3 linked regions of the Neodiprion lecontei genome follow. The main gene of each other region encodes a partner of the protein of the gene in region 3 in a complex. Links are inferred from orthologs where the notes say so. Each region holds a gene or a part of one and is shown on either strand. Other genes may lie near its edges.

The links.
Region 1: transformation/transcription domain-associated protein (region 3) and mortality factor 4-like protein 1 share a complex: the UniProt entries of both Drosophila melanogaster proteins name them as parts of the tip60 chromatin-remodeling complex. The link is inferred for Neodiprion lecontei from reciprocal best matches to the Drosophila melanogaster genes Nipped-A and MRG15.
Region 2: transformation/transcription domain-associated protein (region 3) and vacuolar protein sorting-associated protein 72 homolog share a complex: the UniProt entries of both Drosophila melanogaster proteins name them as parts of the tip60 chromatin-remodeling complex. The link is inferred for Neodiprion lecontei from reciprocal best matches to the Drosophila melanogaster genes Nipped-A and YL-1.

What each region holds. Positions count from the first base shown.
Region 1 is NC_060265.1:18,757,898-18,765,794, reverse strand, and holds the start of mortality factor 4-like protein 1, read right to left. Parts: upstream 6,069-7,897; 5' UTR 5,843-6,068; intron 5,810-5,842; exon of another isoform or gene 5,663-5,809; coding exon of another isoform or gene 5,644-5,662; intron 4,016-5,643; exon of another isoform or gene 3,452-4,015; 5' UTR 2,986-3,451; coding exon 2,958-2,985; intron 2,884-2,957; coding exon 2,766-2,883; intron 1,947-2,765; coding exon 1,638-1,946; intron 1,540-1,637; coding exon 1,321-1,539; intron 1,042-1,320; coding exon 869-1,041; intron 331-868; coding exon 161-330; 3' UTR 1-160. Other genes in the region: centrosome-associated zinc finger protein CP190, read left to right, coding at 7,413-7,580, 7,720-7,859. UniProt on the Drosophila melanogaster protein: Part of the Tip60 chromatin-remodeling complex which is involved in DNA repair. Upon induction of DNA double-strand breaks, this complex acetylates phosphorylated H2AV in nucleosomes and exchanges it with unmodified H2AV.
Region 2 is NC_060260.1:918,632-924,473, reverse strand, and holds vacuolar protein sorting-associated protein 72 homolog, read right to left. Parts: upstream 4,157-5,842; 5' UTR 3,805-4,156; coding exon 3,671-3,804; intron 3,563-3,670; coding exon 3,342-3,562; intron 3,241-3,341; coding exon 3,058-3,240; intron 2,967-3,057; coding exon 2,732-2,966; intron 2,615-2,731; coding exon 2,378-2,614; intron 2,281-2,377; coding exon 2,049-2,280; 3' UTR 551-2,048; downstream 1-550. Other genes in the region: ras-related protein Rab-11A, read left to right, coding at 77-213; exocyst complex component 3, read right to left, coding at 4,307-5,842. UniProt on the Drosophila melanogaster protein: Part of the Tip60 chromatin-remodeling complex which is involved in DNA repair. Upon induction of DNA double-strand breaks, this complex acetylates phosphorylated H2AV in nucleosomes and exchanges it with unmodified H2AV.
Region 3 is NC_060263.1:16,848,991-16,853,912, reverse strand, and holds the start of transformation/transcription domain-associated protein, read right to left. Parts: upstream 3,110-4,922; 5' UTR 2,847-3,109; intron 2,656-2,846; coding exon of another isoform or gene 2,466-2,655; intron 2,367-2,465; coding exon of another isoform or gene 2,208-2,366; intron 2,138-2,207; coding exon of another isoform or gene 1,768-2,137; intron 710-1,767; coding exon of another isoform or gene 504-709; intron 445-503; coding exon of another isoform or gene 298-444; intron 220-297; coding exon of another isoform or gene 1-219. Other genes in the region: NACHT and WD repeat domain-containing protein 2, read left to right, coding at 1-219, 298-444, 504-709, 1,768-2,137, 2,208-2,366, 2,466-2,655, 3,997-4,149. UniProt on the Drosophila melanogaster protein: Part of the Tip60 chromatin-remodeling complex which is involved in DNA repair. Upon induction of DNA double-strand breaks, this complex acetylates phosphorylated H2AV in nucleosomes and exchanges it with unmodified H2AV.

The sequences.
Region 1 (7,897 bases), on a different chromosome or scaffold from region 3:
TACGAAAATATTAAACCATAGAGAAAGAGGAAAATATTATGGTAATTGCATAGTAAATACAAGAGGGACAATGCAGTTTGACAGTGATTATAATAAGCGGTAAAATGGATGCATTGGCTCATTTTGCTGACATTTTAATATAAATGTTGCATAATTCAACTTAATTGCATTTACGGTGATATTCCGGTGGTGCTGCTCCGTAATCTTGAAGACTGAATAAGTCGCTGCTATTCTTATGCAAGTATCTCAAAAAGTCGTGTATGTGCGCCAAAAGTAACTGAATACTTCTCTCGTCGAGAGGTGTGTAAGATAACATACTGCCAAGTTTCACTGTAGGATGAAATTATTAGAGTACTTTGAAATTTACTCAAATTAAATTCACATTATATATATGATATTATTGACTACATCGCACTCATACTCGTTAGGCGAAGTCGTATGCACGTATCTTGCTTGCAAGGTATCGGTGGCTAACACAAAGCATGGTTTGTATTGCATACTGCGGCCTATTACACGAGTTTTATTTACAACTACTAGCGTATGCTGCTTTTAGATTTTTTTTTTCTATTTTGACTAGTCAAGAATATATATGCAATTAATTCAAGACAGTAGATGAGAAGGATTAACGTGACAGTAGCGAGGAAACCTGGTGGTCCAGTGGGTATAAGTCCAGGTATAGGCCTCCACTGGTCCCAGGGTAGATTCTCCTGGTCGTCCGTTAATTTTTCTCATTGAAAAAATTGCACTTTCATTAATTATGAAATTCACTAGGTTTGTTATGATTAATATTTTTAACCAAATCATTTTCTGAAACGATATGTGCTACTTTGAATCCAATACAAGACTTGAGAATAAATTTGTCGCTTACCAAATAGCCTGAGTAGGTGGAAAGCTCCGTATATTTGACTGGGAGTTGAGTCTGGATTTTCAGTCATTACTTCACTGTATTGTTGACGTTCCCATCGATAAAGTAATTGCGTACCTAACATCACATTGAAATACTCCCGCACGCCTTTTGTCACTTCTAGAACAGCGCTTTCTCTGCAGAAAAATTAGTATGAAAAATAATGTTTCTGTCCGAGCTATTATTTAAACTATTAGTAGAAAAGAAGTTAAAACGTATTTGCGTTGTCAGTTCGTATGTCTGTGTGTTATGCAATGGTCCCAAAACTCAATTTGGTGCCATTCCACTCAGGTCCATGGTTTATGCGGCTATGACTTCCTGGAGCGGAGTAATGGACTTTTAAACTGAGTAGAGTGAGGTCTGAGCAAACTCTAGTTGGTCATAAATTTTTCAATTAAAACTGAACATTTACATACTTATTGGGGTTGTTGGTTTTACTAGATGTCTTAAATTTGACGTAATCGTCCAAAATACGATCGACTGTATTCCTTGCAGGTAGTATTGCCAGTTTGCGTTGCCTGCTAATAGCATCCCAATCATCGACAAGCCACGGCTTCAGCTCATCAGGCATTTTAACCTTCACCTCAACTTTTGTTAAGAACTGCTCCTCCGTTTCCACAGAAGGATCAACGCGGCTGAATATAAATGAATCAGTTTGATTCTATTAACAATACTACAAAACTTTTACCAATCTAGTCACTTGTTGTTATAGAGAGTGAAGAGAAGTAAGAACCTTCTTTTTTTGCGCGGTGCATCAGACGACGAATCATGGGACGATGACGGTGTAGCACCCCCGCCAAGCCCTTTGATAGACCGGCCCCCCGTCTTCTCAGCTATTCCAACAGGAGTACTTGCCCGACTTTCACTATCTTTGTCTCTGCCACTCTCACTTCTACGCCCTTGGGCTTTAGTAGTGGTCCCAGTCTTTTTACCTTTGTGCGAAGGCTGCTGAGTTGAATGGGCACGTTGCACTTCTCTTTGTTTTTGTACATTCGACTCGTTGTACTTCAGCACTCGACTCTCTGGCACCCATTCATCCCAACTAAAAGTAAACAGTCATCCGTCCCCTTATGTAATTTGTGACTTTACTCCATTACAGTAGTATCTAGGATATGATAAAAGACTAATGTATCAGGTTTCATACTAAAAGTAATACTGTATTGTTCTCAATATAAATCAACCCTGAATGTAAGGTATAAAACTGCATTTGTGAAATTATTTTTTTATATTTACCTGGAATGGCAATCTCGCATTAAAAGTTAGGTAAGAATGTTTCCGACATTTAAGGTAAATAAGAATGTTTTAACAATATGGTAATAAGAAAACCAGTTGCAGTATACATCTGCGCAAAACGCGATATATCAAATGCAAAAACACAAAATACATCAAATTCAAGTATCCTCATCTCAAAAAATGCTTGTTTATTAATGATTATGATTTATTATTTAATTACCCATTACATAAGCACAGTGATATCACATTCAGATAGTGGTAGAGAATACTTTGCACAAAAAAGTAAATACTGTCCTATAATTCAATAAGTGCTGGTAAATTTTTGCTGGTTTTTAGAAATTGTAATGTAATTAACTTCCAAATTTTGGAGCGTATGAACTATCCAGGTTTATTAAATGAGGAAAATGGGCATATGAACATGTAACCACTTAAGAAAAGTCCACCCATTTACTGGATTTTGATAGTTTCAATAATTCAACAACCAAATGAACAAATATTAGGAAAGAGATTGAAGATTGTGTTTAAATGATTCTACAAAACAATGCTTAACATTTGTTATAACCTGTATTCTTGCAAATACACGCGAACCGTGGTAGAGTTCAGAAAATAAGAATAAACGGTTACTTACTTTTTGTTCCAACCCGCATAGTGTATCAGATATTTAATCTGTTTCTCCTTGGTAACCGAAGACTTCAGGCATTTGGCTTCGTATATTAATGGTCCGTGAAAACAGAGTACTTTTTCTCCTGAAATCCAATGGTATAATAATTATGGATTCAACTATCGCCAATTTGAGTACAAATAATTACAATTACCACACCTTCTTGAAATTTACACTTCGGTGGCATTTTGTTTTTGATCTTTTTACACTCTACTTGATTCCCCCCAGTTTATTTTTGTTTGATAAAATAAATAAACAAATCGTTTTTGATAGCCGACGATCAAATTTATAGGTTAGGGCACAAGACGCTTATGACAGACGCCTGACGCTCTCTCGGTCGTACTCTGCGTAACTGATATCAACCTCACACAACTATACAATCCGTGTCTCCAGCGTGATGGCAAGGCTGAATCTGGATTCGTGAAGAGAGTAAATCAATCGCAACAGTATTATACAAGAATGCTACACTTTGTTTGCTTCTGTGGAGTCTCACAATATACGACACGCTCGAGGTCCGACGGAGATGGTAGTCTTTCACAGGTAAACAGGACGATGAGTCATACAGAACGTTGACTGAAGAATTTAAGTACGGTGACCCCTGGGCAAATTTTTATGACTGCGACCGGTACTCGTCGGATAAGTTCCGTCAGCTTCTTCATTGACAAACACAAAGTACTCCATTAGGGTAACCGTCTTTAAGGGGGTGCTCTGGCCGATATCGCCAAATAACGAGGTCCAGGGAAAAGGGTTAAACTGCCCTACTCTATATGCAATTTTGAACAAAAATACTTCAATACATTTTCATTTGACGCACAAATAAAGGGATGGGATGCTTTCTGTAAAATCGCTACAGTAAATTTGTGGAGTACATGCCATTTCTTTATTTCTGCGTCAAATGAAAATGTATTGAAGTAGTTTTGTTCAGAATTGTCTATAAGAAGGGAGTGTTGAGTCCTTTTTCGCGGTTGAGGTACGTCGACTGCAATATATGTATATATATAATTCAGCGTCGCAATGGACCAGGACATTCCCTTAATGTGAAATAAGTTGAGTCAGGGATCTCATTACTAGACCTAGGACGAAATTTTATGCAAATTCAATTTAATGAAAAACTTCCCGGCTGCTATATGAAATTGCCGTATATTTCTGGCATTTTTAAGGGCAATTTCAAATTCCCGTATAATTCTCGGTTTTCCAGGAATTCCTGGTCGCTGAACACTCTGTAAACGGATAAAAGCATTTTTTGTATAAAAAATCATCATTTTTTCTATTATGCGGATGTGTCATAATTTTATTCTTCCAAAAACTATAATATTATTTAAAATTTATAATAATGCAGTAAGAATTAGTTCAAAATTGAGAAAGAAGAGAGAAACTCCGAAAAACGGGATAAGTAATTTGCGGAAAAAAGTATAAAAGAGAATCATACGCTACAGTCGTCCCGCTTTTCAGGTTAAAAAAGTGTACATTTTGTTTGAATCAAAAATAAAATATGTAATGATTCATCAGATGAAGTACGACAAAAATCTGTGGAACCCTTTAAAAGAGAGATTAAGAATTGTGTAATGAAAAGAGGCAGAAACTACCAGAAGGTAATTATAAGCAACTAATGGAACAAAAAACTGAAATAAAAACTACTAATTGTTAGTAAGGAAACCACCCTACGGAGGACTGACAATAAAATAAAAAAAAGCGAACAAGCATCGCAATAACGAAAACTCCACGCATAATCCACGCGTTTGAATAAAATTCAAACTGATTCTATGATTTAAAATATGTTTTTTAAGCACCACACGATAATGGAATCTCAATATTTACTATACTTAGTTTTTCGATGTCGGGATTGAAATTTTTTTTTTTATCGGTCACAACTTTGTCAAATGTTAATGAATTTCAAGTTTTCTGGAATTTAGAGAAATGCTCAAAGGCCTGAATACAGTTAATGCCATTCTAATTGTTTTTGCAAGTTATTGAAACAATGCCTTGCAAAATTGTGAACCGAAAAAAACTGAAAGCAATGAAGAGAAATTCAAAATGAAAGATTGTAACTAAAATTACATTAACTTTATGATTCCGTAATGGATTCCGATCGGAAACAAAAAGAAAACAGTCTAAAGAAAGAGCAGTTCAGAATTAAGCGCATTTTGTATTGATTGTGTAATATACATATTATAGACAGTGCGAATAAAAAATTACAGTGGCATCAACTGTATTCAGGACTTCTGACATTTCTCTAAATGCCAGAAAAATTGAAATCCATTCATATTTGAAAAAGTTGTGCCCGACCAAAAAAATAAAAATTCCAATTCTGACATGGAAAAACTAGAAAATAGAAAAAGAATAGTGTTGTTTGATTACTTTCAGATTTTTAAAATGGCGGTTTCAGAATAGGTCCTCAGATTTTCTTTAAATTTCACGGGTGGCTCAAGAAATCTGAAAAAAAATCTGAGACACTTTTGGGTCGGCAAGAACATTATACTAAAAAATGATCCAAATCGAAGGGGGTGAGGTACATGCGGTGTTAATTTGATGTAGAATGTCCCATACACAAAACCGAAACATAGAATCGTCAGAATTCTGACCTTTTTACATTAATTAACTCTTCCATATTTCTAATTTCTGCTTTTTTAAATTCTGTCACATAGATATTCACGACTTCGAAAATTTTAGTTTGTAACTTCTGTTTTCTGATCTTTCTAGATTTTTCACCCTATCCGCCATAATGGATATAAAATTAATTCGAAATATGTAATATATTATGGAACGAGCAGAAATAGTTTTAAAACATCACAACGTAAAAGAAGAATTACAGTTATGATATGTAAATCCACGTGAAATCTCTTGCCTACAAGCCGAAATTGCATGGAAATCTACCATACTCGTCACGAAGTCATTCTACAATCAATGTTAAACCCCAATTCGTGTGAAATCGATATGAAATTATGTAAAAACAATTAGAAATTCCGTGAAATCACATATAATCGCATGAAATCATACGAAGTGGGAAAAATTAGACGTAGTGTATTGCAAAGATCTGAAATCACTTGAAATTATCCGGAATCACTTGAAGTCATACGAAATCACTTGTACACTAAAAGTCTGAGTGAATATAAGCCCCTCCGATAGAATCAGGGTGTGAGTAAACGTTAAAATTGTTGGTGATTTAGCAAACGGAACTCGCTGTTTCGGCCTTATAGCATCGCATGGGTTGTGAGTTTTGCCGCTGGCTTCCGGCATACTATTCTTCAGCCGGAGCGTAAGTCGGAGTGCTCAGACTGCCCAGAATATCGTCTAATCTATGGTAATTAATATTATACCAACATTATACAAGATTGGCAATCGACGCATGCGCATTGTGTGGCAATGCATCAGACCTCATGCGCACTTCTCCGATGCGCACAACCGTGAATAAAAATTGGTAGATAAATGAAAATATCAAATGAAAATATCTGAATAATAGTGAATTAGGTTAAACGAACAAGTCAGTGTAAAACTTTAGGTGAACAAGCTTATTTTTCAAATATAATTTTTACTAGTTATGAGTCTACTTGATATTCCTGTGAGGGTAGAAAGGAAGCTAGAGATAGTGAATTTTTAATTTCCGGCCGCACGCGACAGCCCAACAACAGCGCCATCTGTGGGTCACGAACGATAGTGAAAAGCTCGATATCAGTCGCCTACTGAGCAAATTTGTAAGAGATGGAGCTGACCGGAGAATTGCTACAATCCTGTTGAAAAGGTACGTGCGTTTGAACGCTAAAGAATGTTCCGGTATCGTTCCTCAACTGGAATAATCAGATACTCCGCTCAGATATTCGGGACTAACCCGAAGCCCCGTAAGCAAAGGCCACAATGGGATGACCAGACGCGTCCCCTGGTCGCTCGAAACCTGCGACGTATACGTTCTGTACATCATACGCTATTCTCTCCTGGAACTTAGCCTTCCGTAGATTAGGTTAATTGGTCGAGCCTATTTACATGTATCACCTCGCCAACATTCACTTTAGGCGAGATCCATCAGCCGGATAAATCGAGTTTTTCCATTTCTAACCGCCCAATATTCCAGCAATTCTACCAACTTATTCTGTTTAACAATCTCAGATTGTTCTGTATTCCTCTATCCGCAAATACCTACATAGGTATACATGTCACTGATAAGGATCTTGCAATTACAATCAGTTTTTCGGTTTATTTCTCACTGTCAGTCAGCTAAACTATAGTTCAATGTTCAATAACTTGCAATATATCAGAACAGTAACGCGTAGACTTGCAAATTCAAATCTCATACTAAAGTCCACAAAATCTCTTCACAATGATTTTTTATCACTTGTCCTTTGCAGCGACTGGATTAACTTGATACAATTTGATTTTGTATTTGTTGACAATTTTCATTTTCGTTAAACTGTCGGATCAGAACTGTGTAAATTTTGTGTGCAATCTAAACTTTCTTTAGACAAAGTTGGCATACTTTCGATTTAAGCACTGTGAATAAATGCATGGTCACAGAGAAAAGAAATAGCTTGAAATCCATTGAAAGTATAAATATGTATCTTTATAGAATCAAAGTCAATGATATTGTTTTTCCTTTTACATATCTAATATAGACGCTGGACAATGCAGACTGTCACGAATCAAGTTAAACAGCTTCCCTCGCGGGGGCTGAAGCAGGTGAAAGTAGACAATTGGGGGACATTTTTTCTCCAGCGATTGCAACAGCTCTATTTTGAAGAAGAGTTACTAGACCTTACAATCAAATTTCCAACTAGTGACATCACCGTACAGGTACATATTTTACTTGTATTTACTCTTATTGAACAGTTTAGCAAACTTCATGACGCAGCTGGATCATTTACTTCTTGTGGTACTTTCTAAAACATGATTTGACAACTGTCAATAGTATTTTTATTATTAATCCTAACAGGCTCATCGTCTAGTAATCACAACATGCACAGATTACTTTACGCAACTCGAATGCCAGCTCAAAGAAAAAGATGATAACTTTGATGGTGTACTTGTCATGCCACCGGATATGCCTTATGAGTGTGTCAAGTCTATCATCAGGTACCTTATGCTTTATTTTTATCATTGATTTTCAGAGG
Region 2 (5,842 bases), on a different chromosome or scaffold from region 3:
CAGTTTCAATTTAATACGAAATTTTGAAAACTTATAATCGTCTTACGTTTCCTTATACATTCTTTCAACTCTTCAGAAATCTACAGAATCGTTTCTCAGAAACAAATTAGAGATCCTCCCGAAGGTGACACTATCCGGCCGCAAAACGTAGAGCCAATCGACGTTAAACCGACGATGAATGCTGACGGAATGCGCAAGCAGTGTTGCCAGTGACTCGCCTTACTGCTTTCTATGTGAGTGGCGCTGTGAAATTGATTCTATTATGGTCATTCGTTATTTAATTATTCTTTATCTGATTAATTTCCAACCATTACCTGACACAAACTATTCAAAAGCTTACATTTTACTAATTTAAGGACGTTTTTCTCCTGTTTCCTCTTACTTTCTGGAGCGTTCTGATATCATTCCAATTTTTCAGAAGCGGTTACATGGTGGGCTGGAGGGAGAGAGTGGTGACTGGTGGTAGGTACAGCGGATGCGTGGTAGGACGCGGACTAAGACTATATTTTCGATCTTGTATAGGTGTAGAAGATCTTTTTTTGGTCTGTTGGTTTAAATGGCAGAAAAAGATTCAATTCTCCCGAAAAAGCGACGTACAAGATAAAGAATTCACCGTGGCCGGCACACCATTCTGCCCTCTATTCAAATTTGTCTTATTTACTACTATACATATACATATATATACACATATATATCTACACTATTATACATATATGTATGTATATATATATATATATTACGTTATGATAATTAAATGTTGTATTACCGCTTCTTTGTAATACATATATAATTATTCTTCTCTACGCATAGTGTGATGATCACGAGTACATATACTATAAACAATTTATAAATAATAACACAATTACAATGATAATTGTGCAGAGCAGACGTCGTAATGAAAATACTAAATATCAATAAAGACGAAACGACGAAGATGGGAATGACTCCATGTTGATCACTACTTGCTCTCGCGCGCACGTAGTAGAATTAAAATAAAATGATACGCGCAAGCACTAAACTGTATGCTTTTCGACTTTATTTTTTACAAACAGCTTCGTGTCCAGAAAAACGTGTGAAATATTAATTTAAAAAATGAAAAAACAAAGGTAAAAAAATAATAAACAATTTCACGTAGACATTTAAATTTAATTTAAGATTGCGACCAGGAAGACATTTTGAGCATGTACAGATAAATGATTGATTGGTTTGATACGCGTGTAGACGCGTTGCAGATTGCGAGAACCATCTTTGTCGTAAAATAGAATGACTTGGAACTGAATGAAATAAATCGAAGCAAAGGCAACAGCGAACAACACGTTGTGGAACTTGAAATGTCTAGGCTTCGCGCACTACACGAGAGATTAACAACTCCTAATTACTATACAAAACATGCTTTAGAAGAAATGAAGGAAAAAAATCTTGAGAAAGAAAAAATTAAAAAATTAAACACACTGTTATGAAAACCTTATGATATGCGTAATTTACTAACCTTATTATTAATTACAATTACATACCTAATTTTTTTTTTCTACACATTTAATTTTATTCATATTGAAATAAAGACGTCTCTTTCGTTGTATCAAATAGAAAACGTCTTAGTGCTGATTGTGGTTTCCTGATTAAATCCATGTAGGTAAATGATAAATTTGCATTTTAGCAATAAAGAATATGAAAACAAAAAAACTTTAACTTATTCTACTAGTTAATGTGAAGTGGCAAAGCTTTATTAAAAAAAAAGAAAAAAAAAAAAAACAATAAAAACCATTGAAACTCGTTCCGTTCGTTTAAAAAATAGATATTTTTTAATCCAATCCCAATTCTTAAAATCCCTCGAAGGAAGTCATCTACCCAACAGAGTAGAAGCAATTTCCATATTTTCGAAAGGGAAAGTGGTGTAAATTGCTTCGATTTTTTCGATTTTCATTCTCATTTTCGTATGAAAATACTGAAGCAGGCATTTGATAAAATAATTATCCAGTGTCATGTCAAATGATGTGACAAAAGACTGTTCAATGCTACAAGGAATAGCGATTGACCAGAAGGATCAGCTAAGATGCCTGCGACACTGAAGCGGGTTCCAGACGAATCGTATTTCTGTTATTATTGCGACGATTTTTCTGACGCCATTCAAGCCACCGTACCAATTCAAGGTTTTGAGTAGCATCGTTTGTCTCTGCACGAGATTCCAGCTGTTGATAATACGCCTCTCTTAATATTCTAAACATTTGTATATTTCTGTACGGTAGCTGTGTCACTGGATCCATATACCGTGCAGGAAGTCTAAAATCATTCAGAAAATATAGTGTATTAGTACCTGATTATTTCAAAGTAATCACCTTCAGGAGTAATACATCAATGTCGAAAGGCCGTAACTTACCTTGTAATTGCACAAAGAGATTTTAGTGAGGGGCGAGGAGCAGGTGTACGTTTGAAAGCTTCCGTAAAAAGTCGTTCGTTTTCAAATGTGATGAAAGTTCTTTCGTATTTAGAACCTGTATCTTCATGAATGATTTGACTTTCAGCTTCATTAGGAGCTGAGCTCGATTCTCCCTTCTGTTTAATAGGTGTATCTTTGTTACCGCCGTCAATAGTTTTTTGTTGATCCATTATTTCTCTGAAAAATAATTTTGAAAGTAGTTAGAACTACGGCAGTTATGGACGTTTTTGTTTTTTATTGCGGTCTGCATATTGCAAAAGGCTTTACACAAATAACGACCAATTTAAGTCTCACTGTTTTTCAGACAAGGGAGGTGATAATCCAGGTTCTAGAATATCACTGGTTGTATTAGTGGTATTTTTTTCATCGTCAGCTTCGACGTTAATTTTTTCCTCATCTTTGTCAGCTTGTGTTTCAGACAGCATCAAAACAGGCATAGACAAAGATTGGTAACGTATAATGGGGCCAACATTTGTCTTTCGCACTGTCCTCGTGTTTTTCTTCTCGTTCTCTAACTTTTGGTATTTTTCTGTCAAAACATGTTAAAAGTATGAGTTGAATAACCATCCATCGGCACAGACAATCATGTCTTTTTACTTGCCAGCAGTATTATTCATTACCTAATGATTTTAAATTTACTTCCTCCGTGATGAGGGCTTCCTCCAACAGTTCTTCCTGCGTTGGCTTCCAAACGTCGTACTTTACAGTCTTAACTTTTCTCTTCAGATCCTCATTTCTCTCTTTGAGTCGTCTTTGGGTCGCTGCCGACTTTGCAGCAGTAGAACGACGAATGGATTTTCTCTCTTTAAAACGAAACGGGGATAGTAGTTTGGCATGAGGCTATAAATACTGCTGATCGAATGGCTATGATCACGTTTATCGCCATTGATATTTCCTGATATACCTGAATTGTCAATAGAAGTTCGACGTTGCCTGGGTGTCTTAGTCTTTTTCTCTTTAGGAGTAGAATGTGAGTGTGCTGAGGTAGGTTTAGGCTCTTTGTATGCCTTTGTAACAAGGCGTCGTTTTTTTTTGGGTCCTTCTTGTTCGGGATCGGAAACAGGCTCGTCATTTTCGTCTATACTAAAATCTGAGTCCACTTCATCCTCGCCTTCGTCCTCTTCCCTGAGTATTCAACAACATTACAATGAAGTATTATTCTGTGAGTGAAATACTAATTTTATGGAAATATTAAACAGAATGTTTGTCAATTGAAATTCTCATCTAACTAACATGTAATCGTTATCCTGCTCGACTTCTTCGAACCCTCCGTATGTAGTTTTATAGAAATCATCCTCTTCTTCTTCGTTGAGTAATCTTGCCATTTTATTCCCAGCATTGGAACGTCTCTCTCTCGTCGATGCCATCGTAGAGAAATGTTTTTTGACAGCACGATTGATTCAATAGTTCACTTTCTTATTAATTATTGTTCATTCGAGGAGAAGATCTTTGATTCAGTGATGCCTGTGAGGCTCAAGCCACTATTGACGTGGGTTTTTGAGGTTAGATCACACTTTCGTGTTCTCGCCAAACGCGTGGCTGTGCGCAACTGTCAGACGACTGTTTTTTTTTCAAACTGAAAAACAACGAACCTTCTATATTCGAGTGTAATTTTTTTTTCAGAATAGAATTAAGACGTTTCGAATTGTGACGTCAGCTACAAATGATAACACGTTTGATTGAAGAAAATTTTGCCGACATTGCTGAATGTATACTTATTGGCTGAACATGCAGAGCACAATTTCTGACAGAAATGCCCGTACAGCTAGCTCTGTGGAGTGGGATATAGAAGTGAACCGAAAAACCTTTCCCATTTTTAATAACTAGACAAATTTCTATACAAGACGAAAAATTATTTATTTACAGTACTCAGGGTTTCCAATTTAAGAAACTATCCTGGATGACAATTTGCTTAAATATACTATTAGGCATGGGCTGTGGAGCTGTTCGATTACGTTGAGCTTCGTATATGTACGCTACTTTTTCCCTAGCTGTAGCTCTCGGTATGTCTCCTCGGAGACTCAACAATCGTACGAGATGATCTTCGGTCATGTCAGGGTATTTTTCAACGAGTGAATGTAGATCCAAAGATAAAATTTCAGAATCCTCGCAACGCAGTACTTCGGCCAGTCTTTTTATTACTTCGAAAGGCGAATCAAAGTTGCCCACTTTGGGTGCAATTCTGACGAAAAAATTCTTTATCTTATCAGCCTCTGTCATAATTTTTGATGTGCAAGTGAGACATTCGTCGTACGTCTTTAGCGATATCTTTCGCTGCAGCATAGCTGCTATATATCGTTTAGCTATCAGATTTTGAGCCTCTGTAATGACATATTCAAAATTCTTTACTCTAAGGTGATTATAGTCCTGAAAATAGTCCTCCAAGGTTACGCAGATCGTTTCTACGGGTATCGGCGAGGAGAGCCATTTTGGGGTGAGGAGATCTTGGAAGTGGAGTTCCAAGTCTAGGAACGACTCCTCCAATAAAATGGTCGCCGCCTCATCTCTCAGCTGTTGGTAATTGGCCAGGAGAGCCTCAAACCTGACAGCAGCATCACCGCTGGCATTGGAAACCCAGTAAAGTTGTTTCATTTGCTGAGCGAGTTCAATAAACTGAAGGCAATTGTTTACAATGGTGATCATGTGGTGAGTGAAGTAAGGAACTCTGCTCCGATCCTCGAAATGTTTGCTTTTGAACTCAAGTATGGCCTGACGATACGCCGCACAGTATCTCACAACTTGGTCTATACAAAGGACAAGCGCTCTGGCAGTTAGTTGATTGCTGATCGTTTTCGTTACTTGGAGATTCTGATCCACCATTTGAAATATGATTACCGGTGCTGCCGTGTGGTAATAGGTTTCTTGCGTACTACCTTCTGGCAGTACTCCGCTCCACCAGTCAACCTTTTCAGTTTCCAATGTCTTCTTCATCCATTCTTCATAGTTCTGTTGCATGTTCTTCAAGTATTGATCCTGCAGTTCCTCCAGGACCTCGTTGCTCAGCAAAGGTCCTATATCACTGGTGTCGATGTTCAGCTCCGGGTGTTGCATTAGTTCTACACCTGTATAAGTGTTCATTATCCAGGCAAGCAGAGATACGTATTCGTTACCCTCTAGGCCATTTGCTATTATGTCTTTCAAGTGTTGAGATAGACTGTTATGGTACATCTCTACAAACTTCCTGACTATGTTGTAAGAGGGTGGGAAGCAAGGTCCGCACAGTGTTTTTACCACCCTTAGGTCCTCGAGGATGAGGAGACGTGCCAATTCCAGATACCTTGCCAGCCACATTTTATTGTCTGCTCGTTCATCTACATGAGTTCCCTCGACTCTGTTGGCCACAGATTTCTCCAATACTTCAATTGCCATCTTTTTCCAATTCTTCGGTCTTCCCGGAGGCATGAA
Region 3 (4,922 bases):
AAAAAATTTATACGTTTGGAGCCTCGAGACGTCGGCTCTCGTTAAAGTGCTCGACGCCCATTTCGCTAGGATAATTCAACTCGAACCATTGACAATTGGTAATTGGAACAGCGTTATAACATCGAGTATAGACAGAAGCGTGAAGGTTTGGAATATCAACAATATATTCGAACAGGTTCACGTTATCGACAGACACGAGCTACAGATAGACTCGATCAGGTGACAATAATCTTCAACATCCCTCTGACCCTAAATATTCACTTAAACCTATGTAACATCATTTTAATACACCAACAGCCTTGCGGAGCACTGCAACTTGGCTGCTACAGTCACCAGAGGCTGCGTTGGGATTTGGAATCTCCAATCAGGACGTCTGATTTCCAAATTGGCTGACAGCCCACTGGGAGCGATAGTGACTCATGCCTGCATCACACACAATGGAAAGTGGGTAGACTATATATACCACTGTCAAAGATGTGATAATACCTTGGAAAAATTTTCAGGTATATCATCTCCACCGAGTCTGGAAACGTTTTGATATGGAACAGAATAACAGAACAAGTCTTATTTAAGGAAGAGCAGCCAGGCGTACGCCAGCTTACGCTGATTCCTGAGACCAGCAAATTCCTGGCTGTATCAAGACCGAGCAATCCTCCGGGCGTTGAAAGCGTTAGAACAACGGCTACTCTTGTCGTCAGAAATATTCCAGGTAATCGAAAACAGCGTGTAACCTATGTGAACCTAGCACCCGACTTGAAAAAACCTAACTATTTTTTGTTGATTCTTGTAGGTTTTTGTAGGTAGTTGTTTGTAGTAACAATGATTTCGGTTGTAGTAGCGCAAAAAAAAAAAAATATAAGGGGTTGAAAAAATGTCAGCACCCCATTTTGAAAAAAATCGAATTTATCGATAGTTTTCCGTACAGAATCGTTTGTAGTTGATTGTAGTGAAGATATTTTCGTTTGTAGTAAAAAGGAAAGAAAAATAGTTTGTTTTTTTTTAGCTAGAATTTCTGTGGCCCTGCTGTCAACTAATGTTTCGGAATCTTTTGTATTTGTTTGTAGTACAATTTTTTTCGTTTAAAATTCCTCAAAAAAAATGGTACTACAAACAACTACAAACGATATTGAAGCGAGTAGGACGTTTGTAGTAAATTCCCAAGGAACTACGAACGAAAAAATCGGTACTACAAACGACTACAAACGATTCTGAAGCGAGTAGGATGTTTGTAGTAAATTTCCAAGGAACTACAAACGAAAAAATCAGTACTACAAACAACTACAAACGTTTCCGAAGCGAGTAGGACGTTTGTAGTAAATTTTGGAGGAATTTTAAACGAAAAAAATTGTACTACAAACAACTGCAAAAGATTCCGAAACATTAGTTGACAGCAGGGCCACAGAAATTCTAGCTATAAATAAAAAAAAAAAAAAAAAAATGTATTTTTCTTTCCTTTTTACTACAAAGTAAAATATCTTCACTACAATCAACTACAAACGATTCTGTACGGAAAACTACCGACAAATTCGATTTTTTTCAAAATGGGGTGCAGACATTTTTTCAACCCCTTATATTTTTTTTTGGCGCTACTACAAACGAAATCATTCTTACTACAAACAACTACCTACAAAAACCTACAAGAATCAACAAAAAAATAGTTAGGTTTTTTCAAGTCGGGTGCTAGGTTCACAAAGATCAGCGTGTAAAGTCTACTACATCCAGTGTATAAGGAACCAAATTGAAACTAATTTTAACTCTACTCAATAGATGGAAGAACAATGTTCTCGTTGGAATATCCAGTGAAAAGTCAAACAGGAGTACCGTTCAGACAAGCTGTTCTGACCTCGGATGGTGCGAACCTAGTCGTACCGGCAGCTGACAAAGGTAACCGAGACTGTGTGATTGTTTACAACGCAAAAACAGGGGTCCTGGTCAATAGAATACCGGTTAAAATACCGGGACTCAAAGACATAACAAGCATAGTACCAATGCCACACCGTGCGCATTGGGTTGGTATAATCGGCTCGGATAAAGGAAGCATCATGGACATAAACAAGAAGAAAATCATCAGATCGGTGCCCAAGTGGAGCGGGAATATCAGCAAGGATGGCAAACACACTTTATATGCTCCCAGCAGGTAAAAAATTTGTAGTTCAATTACCAATTCCTTATCTCGTGGCAGTTTATGTAATTTTTATTTTAAACAGGGGTGGTCTCGATCTCATCGAACTGAAGAAAGGAACTACCGTCAAGACCTACATACCAAAAGTTGCTGAGGGTGTTTTCACCGTCATTTCAATGTTCAACAGAACGGATGACTACGTACTCTACTATCACAGTGGTCGCAAAACAATTAGAGTATTCAGGTAAAGAAACCATTCAAAAGTAATAGTTCTGACAAATACATAACAAGATGATTTACTTCAACAATAAATAATGCTTTAATTCCATTTTTATTCCCACAGATCTTCAGACTGCGAGATGATAGCCAACTACAGAGTCCAAGCAGAATTGAGCGCAATCGACAGCACGTACGATGGAAAAAGCATAGTACTGGGGACCGTTGATGGATGTGTATCGGTGCTGGCAATCGCAGACCCGCAGAAACCAGAAATGAAGGATTACTTGTTGAACTTACCGTCGCGAGACGAGCAGGTGAAACGAGATGATAAAGAAAAGCGCATGTTTATTAGAGGTTATGAACGCGACGGAGAAAAAAATTGCGAGATGAAGTTAGAATATACAAAAAGGTGTTATAATATTCGTCGCGAGATCGGAGATTGAGCAGGGGTGAAAATTCGGATTGAATCGTGGGTGAAATGAAGCGACATAACATAGTTACTAACCTTCTTCGGTATGATGACGCACGGCAGACCCTAACCTCGATCTCGGTAACTCCTTTCACATAGTTGAAAGTCTCTCGTACTTCCGAAACATTTCGTTCACACCTTCACAAGCGAATTCACATCGCACAACACAATTGTCTACTTTTCCGCACTATGTTTGTTTGTTTATTGAACATAAAAACGCAAATATACCGTACAGGCTCCGAACGCCGCGAAATTGTGCGACATAACTTGCACTCGCATCTTCCATCTGCTTCGTTCGCCTCCCGGCCATAGACTTATAACGATAGACTGAGCGTTCCTATAAGAGGCACTGACAATTACATATAAAGGACAGAGATATACCGGGAGTACTGCTCTCGCTTTTCAATCGGCGTCGTGGTGGAAGACAACGGAGCAGTGGAAGTGGAACAGCTATAGATATAGGGGTATAATTTCGCCTCATTCTCCTCTACCGCCTTCAAGCGGCTCATAAGCGCGCTAAGTCTATCTTTATAAGTCTATGCTCCCGGCCCAGTGTTGGCAACCCTCTGGTGGCGACAAGTCGTACTCGATGTGAAAATGAATCGTACTTTGAAATTTCAGGACCGTACAAAGATTTCGCGGAGTACATTTTTGTTCTTTATATTTTATGGTCGTACAATTGCCACAATGTTGCTTCTTTTCTCAAGGACCAGATAAGTTTCAACCACATTATTGTTAGTTTTACGTTCAAAAATATTTCACACTAACGCTAAAGGTTGTGAATTTTTCAATTACACGAAGCAGTTGCTGGAGTCTTGGAGAATAATTGAACTAATATAACCAGGAATGTGAATTACTGAGACCGTTTATACTTCTGTACTTGATTCTTTTACAATATCAGAGGCTAGCCAAAAAATGACCTAAATTCCTAAAATTTTTCCATGACTGTACATTTAGCGTGTCCGTATAGGAGGCGAAATTACCGTACAAATACGGTCCTGACCGTACGGTCGGTAACTTCGTTCCGCCAAAGAGTATAATATGCGTATATATATATATATATATATATACATATACATATATCTCATTTCGAGTTGCGCGTCTTCAAAACCGCGAAACGAAATTAAATTCAAATCATGTGTACAGCCAACCTGTATATTATTAATTATGTAATTTTTACTTTCAGTGGAAAAAGAAGATGGAGAAGCAGCGAGCAGCGACAAAATTCAAGGCGGCGGCTAGAATAGCGAGGGTAACGCACGATCTAGTGCACGTTGTGAGGAAGAACAATGCATTTGTCGAGGAAAACGATGCAACTGATGAAGAGGCGGATCAGTAGGCTGCCTTACAATTATATGATTCGTACTCGTTCCATCTAGTTATCGGCAATGAGAATACCTGGCTTGTAGCAAAACTTATATTGGCGTGTTATGCCTGGTGCATAATTTTCAAGCTAAGAGTTGAGCATAGATAATATACATATTATTGGCAAACTGATAAATTATTATAATCGTTGATATATTGAGATGAATTTATAGACATTCATAAATTATATACAATATGCTAAGGGAAAGAAACGAAAATGCAATTGTAATTTTAAGACATGAAATACGGAATTTATAGTAATATTTATTTCTGTCTTTTAGCGAATATCGAATTTGTATAATTATTTGTTTATTTTTTCATTTATTTATTCTAATTCTCTCTTTCACTTTCTCTCACTTTTTCACGCTTCCTTCAAACTTCAATATTTCAAATGTTTACACTTCGTAAATATTTTGCCATTCGCCTTGGTACATGTAATAACCTTGCATTTTAATAAGGATGACAAAGACGGCGACAACGGCTGATGACAATGTCGCAGGATATAACTCGGTGTAGCTGCGTAATTGAATCGATGATGTGGGTTCAGATCAATGCATTTGAAGAAACAAAATGTAGCGGAAAAAAAATATTCACAACAAAACAACCGTTCTGCAATACAAAGATACTATTTATAATTAATTTAAATTTTACGTGACAACACACTATATGCTCTCTTTCTCTTTAATAATGTTTTACAAATAAATATATATGTATATCTATATATATATTATCCAACAAAAAAAAATA